Linked DNA regions of Nothobranchius furzeri. The protein of the gene in region 1 interacts with the protein of each later gene in a pairwise test. Links are inferred from orthologs where the notes say so. Each region holds a gene or a part of one and is shown on either strand. Other genes may lie near its edges. The genes, in order: lamtor5, git1 and tcap.

What was found.
Region 2: the proteins of lamtor5 (region 1) and git1 interact in a two-hybrid assay, tested with the Homo sapiens proteins (2 studies listed by BioGRID and IntAct). The link is inferred for Nothobranchius furzeri from reciprocal best matches to the Homo sapiens genes LAMTOR5 and GIT1.
Region 3: the proteins of lamtor5 (region 1) and tcap interact in binary tests that used the Homo sapiens proteins (3 or more experiments, as listed by UniProt). The link is inferred for Nothobranchius furzeri from reciprocal best matches to the Homo sapiens genes LAMTOR5 and TCAP.

What each region holds. Positions count from the first base shown.
Region 1 is NC_091755.1:27,982,242-27,986,546, forward strand, and holds the start of lamtor5 (ragulator complex protein LAMTOR5), read left to right. Parts: upstream 1-1,356; 5' UTR 1,357-1,463; coding exon 1,464-1,498; intron 1,499-1,578; coding exon 1,579-1,640; intron 1,641-3,180; coding exon 3,181-3,298; intron 3,299-4,305. UniProt on the Homo sapiens protein: As part of the Ragulator complex it is involved in amino acid sensing and activation of mTORC1, a signaling complex promoting cell growth in response to growth factors, energy levels, and amino acids.
Region 2 is NC_091753.1:16,485,181-16,489,561, reverse strand, and holds the start of git1 (ARF GTPase-activating protein GIT1), read left to right. Parts: upstream 1-1,466; 5' UTR 1,467-1,720; coding exon 1,721-1,772; intron 1,773-4,381. UniProt on the Homo sapiens protein: GTPase-activating protein for ADP ribosylation factor family members, including ARF1.
Region 3 is NC_091745.1:14,198,814-14,202,102, forward strand, and holds tcap (telethonin), read right to left. Parts: upstream 1,884-3,289; 5' UTR 1,661-1,883; coding exon 1,512-1,660; intron 1,402-1,511; coding exon 1,011-1,401; 3' UTR 510-1,010; downstream 1-509. UniProt on the Homo sapiens protein: Muscle assembly regulating factor. Mediates the antiparallel assembly of titin (TTN) molecules at the sarcomeric Z-disk.

The DNA.
Region 1 (4,305 bases):
GGCTAATCCAAATATACAAATGAATAAAGTAAACAATAAGATAAGAGATATAAAATATATAGAGGCTGGTATGTGCAAAACAGTGGCATTAATGTACAGTATGGAATGTGTAATGTTGGAGTTTCAGTAGTGAGGGTGAGGTGTCTGTGAAGTGTTCAGCAGTCTGATGGCCTGATGGAAAAAGCTGTCTCTCAGTCTGCTGGTTCTGGACCGGATGCTGCAGAACCTCCTTCCTGATGGAAGTAGTCTGAACAGTTTATGGCTGGGGTGACTTGAGTCCTTGATGATCCTCCCCGTTTTCCTCAGGCACCGCTTCTTATAGATGTCCTGGAGGGAGGGAAGCTCACCTCCAATAATCCTTTCTGCACACCGCACTACTCTCTGGAGAGCTTTGCGGTTGTAAGCGGTGCTGTTGCCATACCAGGTGGAGATGCATCCAGTGAGGATGCTCTCAATGGCACAGCAATAGAAGGTCCTGAGGATACGGTGGCTCATGCCAAATCTTTTCAGTCTTCTGAGAAAGAAGAGGCGCTGCTGTGCCTTCTTCACTGTATTTTCCGTGTGCACTGACCACGTAAGATCCTCTGCCAGGTGAACTCCAAGGAAACGGAAACTGCTCACCCTCTCCACAGCGTCGCCGTTGATGGTGATGGGGGGGTGTATTCCTCTGCTTCCTCTGCTCCTCCGGAAGTCCACTATCATCTCCTTTGTCTTTGTGACGTTGAGGGTGAGACTGTTGTCCTGACACCAGTGGGTCAGGGCGCTGATCTCCTCCCTGTAGGCCGTCTCATCGTGATTGGTGATGAGACCTATCACTGTGGTGTCGTTCGCATACTTCACAATGATGTTGGAGTTTCTCGTGGCCGTGCAGTCGTAGGTGTAGAGTGAGTACAGGAGAGGGCTCAGCACACACCCCTGCGGTGCACCAGTGTTCAGTGTGACGGGGGATGAGGTGGTGCCGCCCATAACATTATTATTATTATTATTATTATTGGAAAATTTAATAAAACTTGAAGGAAAATGCTAATTCTTTCTATCTATCTATCTATCTATCTATCTATCTATCTATCTATCTATCTATCTATCAATCTATCAATCTATCTATCTATCTATCTATCTATCATCTATCTATCTATCTATCTATCTATCTATCTATCTATCTATCTATCTATCTATCTATCTATCTATCTATCTATCTATCTATCTATCTATCTATCTATCTATCTATCTATCTATCAATCATCTATCTATCTATCTATGCCTATTTTGTTTATGTAATGTAAATGGAAAGATTTTGCGTTCTCTCTCTCTCTCTCTCTCTCTCTCTCTCTCTCTTTCTCTTTCGCGTCACACTTTTTGGTCCTCGTTGTGACTCGTAGCGCACGTGACGGTCAGCTGACTCTAACCGGAAACGTCGATGAAACTGTAAACAATTAAACCTTCTCTCTTTTCGTTTGTTAACGATGGAGTCGACTCTTGAACAGCATCTCGATGACACGTACGTTAAAAATCTCACTCTAACTGCTGACGTACTTCACTTTTTGTTTCATTAAAGCCTTTCTCCTTGTTTTTTTGTAGCATGAAGAATCCAGCAGTTGTCGGTGTGCTCTGCACAGATCACCAAGGACACAACCTGGGCTGTAAGATTAATTTAAAAAAGATTTACAGCAAAATGTATGAAACATATTCGGTTTAGTTAGCTTTTACAAGGCTACGTCAGTGTCGTGTTCTTTTTTTTTTGAATAATGAAATAACTTAGTTGCAGCAAAAGCTATTAATGTAACACACAAATAATATTATTTCCTTCAGTTTAGCTATTTTCATCTGTAAAGGTTGAAATACATACTACAGTATAGTTGAAGTTACTGTGAATCATACATTTCAACCATTAAAATCTCAACTTATTTCACATGCCAGAAAATCTTCACAGTGTTTGCACTGTTAGCATAATGAGATTAGCATTTCTGATGGAATGAGCTCTTCTGGCTGTTTAACAGGTCAACAGGAAGCTGCTGTAATTAAATTTAATCACAAAGGCTAATGAGGTATAATTAAAATTAAAATGTAATGTTTTTATAATTCTCTAAACACAACCAATCCAAAATGATGCTTATAATTGTTTATTGTTGATTATTACTCATAAACTAATAAATACTAAATGCTTAATAACCACGCAGTTAGTTAGTGAGGTCATTTATGAACATTATTCACATACAACAATTACTGTCATTGGGAAAGTGAATACTCCGTGGAATTGATTCTGTGTTACTTGTTTGGCTTCCATGGTTTAGTTTGAACTTTGATCTCTTCTACAATTCATCAAACTTCAGGGAGATGAACATGCTCTAAATTTTACTTAGGCTGTGAATTCAGAACATATCCAGTCCATTTTCATCAGCTGTGCAATGAAACACAAAGCAGAACAACTGATGATAATATAAAGTAATTATTTTACTTCCCAGAGGACTCCTGCAGCAGCTGACAGGTATCATGTGGTCTGAAGAATCACAGCTTGACGGTTGCTGGAGCATAGAACTTGCTGGAGGGGCTGTCTGCCCTCTAGCTGTCTTGATGGAGATGGAGAGTCACTGAGATCAGAGAAATCTGAGCTTCGCTCCTGGACCTGTTAGCAACCCAGACTTTGATAATTGGAAGAAAAATGATGGATATATCAGTATATATATTTTTTCTGTTCGGTTTAATTAATATTTATAACAGAGGCATCCAGCAAAGTCTAAGCTCTTTGTTAGCGTCCTCATACTTTTATTATCTTTTTAGGTCTTGTTGAAAGTTATTTTGAAAAGGTTATGATGTAACTGTTGGAAGTGGGTAAACATGAGTATTGTTTTGTGTAGTCAGTAGCAATGTTTCCCTGGTACATGGACAAACCTAAATGAAATAGTCAAAAGATGCAGAAGACAGAAACCAAACAATGAGTTCAACATGATTCAGATCCTCGAGAGACCCCAGAATTCAGAAATCCTCAGTCTGGACTAAATAACAGCAGTGGGACAGAAATGTTTGTAATATGTTAACAATCCTTCATAAGGAGGTCATTGTTGTATACAGGTTTGGAATTAACACAAATCACAGAAAATGACTGTTTGAAAGATGCACTGATTTCCTTTTTTTAAGACATTTAAATAATTCATTGCGTGTTTCTTTTCTTTTTTCTTTTAGGTCGTGGCTCCTTGTCTGATGAACATGGTGGTGTTGTGTCTGTTTTGTCCAAACAAGCTATGGCGCTCACCAGAGACCCAACAGTCACCCCGACCGTGTGCCTGGAGTCTGAGTCAGGGTGAGAGCACTGACCGGGTTTTAGCTTGACTTGTAATTCTTTTTAAAAATCTATCTCGGGGTATTTAAGATGTACCTTTGGGGGTTCTGATTAATGTGTACGGAGATCAATTACTCTAAAAAAAGCTTTTTGAGAGAGATCAGAACCAGAGACTCAGGGTTCTGAATCTGATCCAGTGGTTCACTGTCTCCCAGCAGCTATTAGCATCCGGGTCCGAGCCTTCATCGCGGTTGCTAAAACCAGTACGCTTATCTGGTTCCTCCAGTTTCTATTTACTTACCAAAGGCAATGCCATTTGTGACTTTGAACTGAACATGCTCGGTTCTTGGCATTAGATTCCAGAATGTTGTTCATTTCTTTCCCAAAAGGCAGCTGAGATATTTTCTTGAGACTCCAAGCCCTTTTTAATTTCCCCTAATAACCTCGTAGACATTTAAATAACCCCATCATCATTAAAAACGGGTCCAAAGTTGAACTACAGAATAAAAAATTAAAAAGCCAATGTCCTCTTTAGTGGACGGAGGCTCCATGGAGGATGGAGAGGGAGGAAGTCAACCAACTGTGGGATTTTATTTATGTCGTTGTGCTGCCATCTTCTGGTAAATGAACATCTCGTCTTTCAGAACATTTTACCAACCCAATGACAGCTCCTGAATATTTATTTATTTAAAATTACTGCTGCGAACTTTCAATCTCAGATATAATTTGTTATCTCAAAAGTCTAAATAACATAAATACAAATACAAACGGTTTTGAGTCCGATTCAAGGCTTATTTTAGCTTTTACATCAGTTATATTCAAACAGTATTTTTAGGTTGTGATTGATCATCTCCACAGCCAGAACTCAGTGTTCCATGAACCACTGGGCCATCGGGACCCCAACTTTTGGAACCACTGCTTTAATTATGTTTGAAACCATAAAACCAGAATTTGTGAATAATTTTGTTTTTGATTTTTTACACTTAGTATAAATGATTTAGAGATCAGATTTTTTAAAATTATGATAA
Region 2 (4,381 bases), on another chromosome or scaffold:
TGGTTAGTAATTGGAAGAATAACAAATGACTGAATTAAATAGTGGAGCGCCTCTGTCAGTGTGCCCCAGGGCAGCTGTGGCTACATCATAGCTCATCACCATCAGTGTGTGAATGGATGAATGATACACTGTAGTGTAAAGCACTTTGGAGTCCTTACTCTGAGAGGCGCTATACAAGTGCGGATCATTTATCATTTATAGTGTTGATCAGGCAGAGCTGTGTTGCCAGCGTTCCACTGCATAATGGCTTCAGACGCGTATACAATAGTTTTTACGTAAACCATTGGAGGAAATTACACAAACTGAGCTCTAGTTAAGGTGCTTGCAATAGTGTGTGTGTGTGTGTGCGCGCGCGCATGTGTTTGGGGGAGGGTATATTGGAACATCCCCCCCCCCCCCCAGTTTGAAAATCCTATCTGTGCCCCTGTATATACACAATTTAAAAAGTAAAAGGCTTGTTATACAAAAATATAACTTCACCTCCTGTGGAGTAAGTCTGTTCCATTTTAATCGTTTTCTTTGACCAAGGAAGAACAGTGTCCTCAAAAGAAAGGCGCCAGGCCTAGCAAGGCAATGACTTGGTGCCTTAATATTGAAAAACACACAGTGATTTTTTTTTTCCCCTTCAAAAGTCTAATTTAGGTTTGGGGCTTTTCAGAAAACATCCGGGGCTTGAGCCCAAGTGGCCACCTCCTAACCCCGCTTCTGCATTACCGTAAAGTGGAATTATGTATTTATTTAAAATGAAATTTTAGACACTTATTTTGAAAGTTTCAGAAGTAAAAAGGAAATTTAAGTAAAGCTAATCTGATGCAACTTTTTACTCTAAAGAGATACTAATACGACTCACCGGGCCGTTTCCGCTCACAAGCATGTTCGTGCGGAGTTGACTTCCTGCTAAGCTAATCCGTTTCTCCGCCTCAGCACCGCGAGTTTGTTTGGTTTATGAACAAACAGCTGCAGGTGCTCGTGCATTCGTGTATGGCAATCCGATTGGATCGAAATCCGTTCACTTTTGAGCAGGTTTTGTTGTAAAACGGCGTTCAAATCTCCGTTTTTAAACTTCCAACGCCGAAAAACCAGTTGAAAATCCCTTCAGAACGTCGTCTTCGTGAAGTTTTCAGAGCACCGTAAAAACGACGTATTTTCTCGTCTCTGAACACCGCACAGAGGCACTCTGAACACATCCTCCAGCCAACGGTAGAGCTGCAGTCTCCCTGTGACGTTAACGTGTGTGTCCCGTAGGTTCCAGGAGCGGAATAAACGACTCACACCGGAGCTGCGTTTCACCTGAGCTTTTTGCTGCGCAGTGCGCACCGAACTACGAACGATCTGTTTGCAGCCGAAGCTTCGGCTCATGTTTCAAATACACCAAAACAGAAGAGTTATGCTCCCTCATAGCGCTGGGCTCCCTGAGGTCAAGGTTTCTTACTTCCTGTTTAATCTTTTCACAATAAAAGCACAAATTCATAAATACAGGCAATAAAACAACACACAGCGTTCCCTATATTAAGGATTAACGATGTTCGGAAGAACCAGTTCTCTCTGAGCCAGGCTGGGCTGTGGGGTGGGGGGAGATCCAGCAATCAACCGGCTGGGAAAGCTGACCACGACACCCGGCTTCCGGAGACTATAGGACCGCAGCGGCTGGAGGGCAGACATCCGTCTCTGGTTTTCACATCGGCGCAGACTTCAGCTGACTGTTGCGGCCACTTCCGATATGTCAAGAAAGCTTCAAAGGACAGAAGTGTGCGCTGATTGCAGTGCTCCAGGTAGGCAGCGGGGTAAATAAAAACGGAACAATGCCAGGGGAGGGCTAACGGGGCCGGGGATGCTGCCACTGTGGGCTTTCAGAGCAGGAAACGGCCGGGAGTGTCGTCAACTAGGCCCCAGACAAACCGTGAAAAATAGCTGAACGCCGCTACACCGCGGTTAAAAGCCCTGTACCTGTTTATAAGGACGATAACACACATCTGTAGCAGGTTACTGGTGGTGGCTAATAGAGTTTGCCTTTGTTGTTAGCTTAGCTTAAGCTGCTAGCCACTCCAGCCAAGCTGATCCGGAGTTTGAGATTAAAGTCGTGTCGTGAAAATTGAGACGTGATAAAAGTTTGCATGAGTGTCGCAGCAGTGTCCCTTAGGCAAGGGGACCAGTAAAACAACTCTGACCCCCGAGTGGTTTGGTTATCATGAGTCAGCGTCATCCGGATGAGGTTTTGTCACTTTTAGGAGCATCATTACGGTTCTTCAGCCTAACTGGTCCCTGTTGCATCAGAAGGTCTGATCACTCCAACTCCTGTTTATGTGGCATCAGCAAAGCTTCTCTTTCCAGACCAGCAGCAGGTTTCTGACTGGAGCTGACAGAAGACAGCACATCACTCCCGTTCTGATCAGGATTAACTGCAAAGTCCTACTGCTTGCAATCAAATGTTTGAAGTCAGGTCCCTCCCTATCTAAGTGAACTCCTCCATTTCTACCACCCCTCTGGTGCTCTTAGGTCTGCAGATAAACTCCTCCTCACCATCCCTAAGGCATGTTTGAGGGCTTTTTGTATCTGTGCCTCGAAACTTTGGAGTTCCCCACCCCTTCCTGTTAAGCCGGGCGTACACTGTGCGACTTTGTCACTTTTTTGAGCCGATTTTCCACTCGTGCGAGAATCCACGACATCGGGGCGAGTTTTGCGCCGAGCGTCGTGTAGTGTACAGGGGGTTACGAGAGGCGATTAAGGCCTAGTCCACACGTAGCCGGGGTTTTTTAAAATCGAATATCCTCCCCTCCAAAAACTCGCATCCACACCACTGCATTTTAAAAACAAACTCTGTCCACACGTACCCGGATAAATACTTTGTTAAGGACATGCCAGACCTGTAGGCGGCAGTACTTCCCCCGTTCTTAACCTCGTCCTTCGTCTGTGGTCTTCTGCAAGGAGGTGTAATTCTGCTTGCAAAAACAAACAAGTAAAAAGCGCTTGGACAATTGATGGATCGGGTAGTGACAGAGCGCAGCTCTGAGGGCATCCATGCTGTCGGCTAGTGTAAACACAGGTCGCACACGTGATGTCAGCATTTTTTGTCGCGGAAAGTGACGTTGCGGACCTTAAAACTCCGGTTTTGTCCGTCCACACGCAGACACCCACAACGGAGAAAACGCAGATCTTCACTTTGGCCGGAGTTTTTAAAAAGATCAGTTTTCGTGTGAAAAAGCTCCGTTTTCGTGTGGATGACAGGCCAAAACGCAGAAAAATATCTACGTTTTGGCAGATCCCCGGCTACGTGTGGACAGGGCCTAACACCACGTGACCAGCTGCCGATCAGCAGTCGTGAGGTCGCACGGACTTCTGGCGTGTTTAAAATTTTGCTCGTCCCTCGTGAGGGTATGGCACTGTTGAAGCGGAGCTGCGAGCAGCTGCAACCCAAAAAGTATCAGAACCGCTCACGGCGCATGCGCAATCCTGCATCAACGCCGCTTGCTCGCTATTTCCCTAATAACACGCTGTTCGCTTTTATTTCTACACGTTTTTTTACTCACAAAGATTGTCAAGAAAGCGTGTTTGTCGTGTTCATGTCAAATTAAGCTGATCACAAAACACAGATTTACTTTCTTTTAGGGCAGGGTGATACGCCCAAAAAATAAAATCTCCGATTTTATTTTCTTTAATTCGATTTCCGATTTTTTCCGATTACACCCCCCCCCCCCCCCCCCCCCAAGAAAAGGACACCAACAAGTACAAACAGCAGACCACTTGAAGCTACTTTTGCTTTTATTTAATCAAAAGCAAAACGTGTAATGCTCTTCAGGGATGAATGGCGAATAACTGAAAACCCTCTTGGAATCAAAGTGCCAGGTGTGTTTTGAGTCATACTCTGTTGTCTAGAGTGAAATGTGACAAACATTCCCATTAGAGTAACACCATTTTCTCAAACATTAACAATACATTCAAATACAGGTAAAACTAAACCAACCCAAACAGTGCGACAACTAACAGGGATAAATGCATCATACTTTTCAATCCAAAAACAGAGAAAAAAAATTATCTGTCTTTAACTTGCATTTACGGTAAAAGATTTACTTTGCATATAATTTTAAATAAAAACATAAGTGCAAAACTTCTTTCTTGGGTAAAATACTAATTTAAACAAAAATTAAGAGTACAAAAATTGCAAAATAAACAATATTCAACTCCAACTGAAAAGTGCCAACTTTTGTTAAAAAAATAACTTTAACAAACGATTTGTGTCCCTGAATGTAGAAACAGGAGAGAAAAATCACATTTTGATTGAGCTGCTGAACATGAGATCTGTGCTTAAGTTTGGGTCAATAACATTTATATATTTTTGGCAAGGAAAATCAGCCTGTCCACTGCCTCTGGCTTGAGGCAAGCT
Region 3 (3,289 bases), on another chromosome or scaffold:
AACGTACAAAGGAGTTTAGAATAAAGTTTGTTTTTGTTTGTTGTCACTTCACTCAATTACTTTTGATGCTTTAGACATTATTGAAAAAATACCAGAAATTGATCTTTTAAAGGGATAGTAGGCAGTTTTGGCTTGCCTTTATCGCCCCCTAGTGTCTGTTAGTGAAAGCAAAAGTGAATCTCCTCTTCTTGCTGTACGTTCGTCTTTTTAACACCTTAATCTAACTGCTAATTGTCTCCCCAGCCTTCATCAGGAGGGATTCATCACTGAATTAAACAAATCAGCTGTGTTCATGATCTAAACCATGCAGAAGACATGCTGGAAGCGGACTGCAGCGCCAGCACGTCAGCTCCACATCAGACTAAAGTGGGACTTAACAGGGAGCTGCTCAGATACTTTAAGATGGGTGATTCATTCATCTTCGTTGTAGTCATTTTGTTTTTCTCTACGTAAAACCTAATTTAGGGTTTTTCAAGAATATCACAGAAACAAGTCTGAAGACAAGGAAATTATGAGTACTTAAAGTTTTATTAGCAAAAATATTTCATTTCCAATAAACAAATATCATCATTTCACACATTAAAAAGTTGTTCATGATCTCAGCCAAACTTGTGTCTGCTGTCAGGATCAGACAGCAGCTGCCACTCAGCTAACAGGAAGAATGAGTTAATGAAGCGAGACGAAAACAGGTACCAGTCTACACACACACACTCACTCAGGAACAGCAGCAGTGTGTGATGGTGCCAGTGCATTCTGTTCTCTCCATACAGAACTGGCAGAAGCTCCTGGGAGGTGACCAACCCAAACATCACGTTTCATCACCATACCACTCCATCCATCCCTTCTTGCCCTTCAAACACTTTCAACCTTCTTTCTGATAACTTGCATCGCCATCGTTCTGTTAAACTTGCACTTTTCACAATAAAAGTGCACTAGTGCTAGCATCACATTCACAAGTGGATCAAACAAGCTAACATATTCTCTTCTTTTTCCGCCTCTATCTTTTCCGTTCAGCCTCTTTGGGCTTCCTGTGACATGGAGCGACCCAGAGCTCTGGGGGCTTTAGTGAACTCCATGAGGACCGGTTTGATGGGGGGGAGGTCTCTGGTGATCTCGTCCACACTCCTCTTGCTGGGGCAGACCCCATCTCGTGTGGGGAAGGGCTGCAGGTCGTGCTCTGTGTGCGGGGCACCACGTCCCAGCCTGACACCCAGCTCTGTTGGGGTAAAGATGGGCAGGGGGAGGGTGTGTCTCTTTGGCAGCAACTGGTGCTCCTTCATCCCTCTTTCCACAGTGCCCACCCTGAAGACACCAGAGGGGCAGGTCTGGATCAGAGAGCGGTACTGCCACTGCCGGGAGAGGGTCTCTCTACGGGAGTCGTCCTTCATGCTCATGGTTTGTCTGTGGGCATCAGACGACAGTTCAACTTAGAGACTTAATAACACTCCAAGGTTAAAACAAGAGGAATCTCAGTACAAACCACTGAGTAGATGGAGCATGTGGTGTCTCACCTGTCCTGAGGTTGAGTTTTCAGATCAACGCTGTGCCAGTCAGCACTGTAGCTCTCCCTCTTAGCCGTGTTTTCCTCCCGGATGCTGCAGGCCAGCTCTGCTCCCACCACCATGCCGTTACTCTTCTCCAGTATGCTGCAGAATGGCATGTTTTCTACTGTCTGGGGATCTTGGGTTCCTGAAAGCTGGTTCTCTCTCTGAGACGTCTAGACTCTCTCTTCAGAGTGTTTGAGTGGCACAGCGATCTGTCCACAGCTTTTATAGACGCCCCGTGACTATTTCTGATTCACGTTGTCATTCTGCTTCCAGTGTGTACTGACATCTGACACCGACTACTCCGCGGTTCATTCCCGGACAGCTGGAATCCAAACTGAGGATGAGTTGAAGGGTGGTTGGCCAGAAAATCCCCCTGGCTTCTGAAAGCACTCAGCCCACTTCAGCGGCGGTCGCAGAGGGGACAGAACAATCGGCGCTATGAATAGAGGTATGATAAACTTGTATGTTCAGCTGTGAAACGGGACAGCAGCCGCTTTATAAGGACATTTCAGATGATATAATCATCATTTTTTATCGTTAAAAAACAACCGGGCCTCATGACAACACCAGCCCCTCCGCTGGACGTCTTTCAAAGCTCCAAAGCGTGTGATTCATTACCTCAGTGACAGAGCACCACTCAAGCTGTTAGCAACTTGGGTTACTGACCGAAACACACACACACACACACACACACACACACACACACACACACACACACACACACACACACACACACACACACACACACACACACACACACACACACACACACACACACACACAGACACACTCACCTCTGCCAGTTATGTGTTGGTGTTATGTTACTACCAGTCCCTGTCTCTGACTCATTCACCCACATGGGGCACTGAAATCATCATCACAACACAGATATCACTTATCACACACACAGCATAATAATAAGGCATCTAAACGACCAGTTAGGCAGGAACACCAATCATCTAGACTTCTTACAAACCTCACGCTTTCTTTCCTCTCATTGTGGGACTTATTCTCATCTCTTTTTATCATCTTTCCATGTCTTTACCATTCGAGATGGCGGTTTAGTGTTATTTTCGTGCCAAGTGCAAAAACGTTTTCACCTGTTTCTTAGCAACTTATCAGCTAGTTGACACAACATGACAGGAATGCTGCCACGGTGAGAAAAAAGGTGTAAAGCAGCCGCTGGCATCCCAAAGGTCATCTGTTTAGGTCAGAAAATCAGCGTGACATGTTTTTGTCATTTAAAGAGACTTCCTGTTTACGTCCTGCTCACTGTCAAAAGGAGGAACGCGGATAATGATGTTTTTGCTTGTGCGTTTTTAGCTAAATATCTTATAAATCATTTAACATGTTTTGATAAAATAAAATATTAAATAAACGGCTGCAGTGGCGCAGTGGTTGGCACTGTTGCCTAGCAGCAAGAAGGTCATGCAGAAGGACCCCTGGCCTGGGGTCCTTCTGCATGGAGTTTGCATGTTCTCCCCGTGGGTTCTCTCCAGGTTCTCCGACTTCCTCCCACAGTCCAAAAGCATGAATGTCAAGTTGATTGGTTTCTCCAAAATTTCCTTAGGTGTGAGTGTGTGTGTGTGTATGGTTGTTTGTCCTGTGTGTCCCTGTGTGGCCCTTCGATGAACTGGCAACCTGTAAGGTGCACCCCACCCGTTTGCCTGGAGACTGCTGGCACCAGCCCCCCGAAACCCTGCGTGGATAAGCAGGTACAGAAAATGGATGTAAGGATGGAC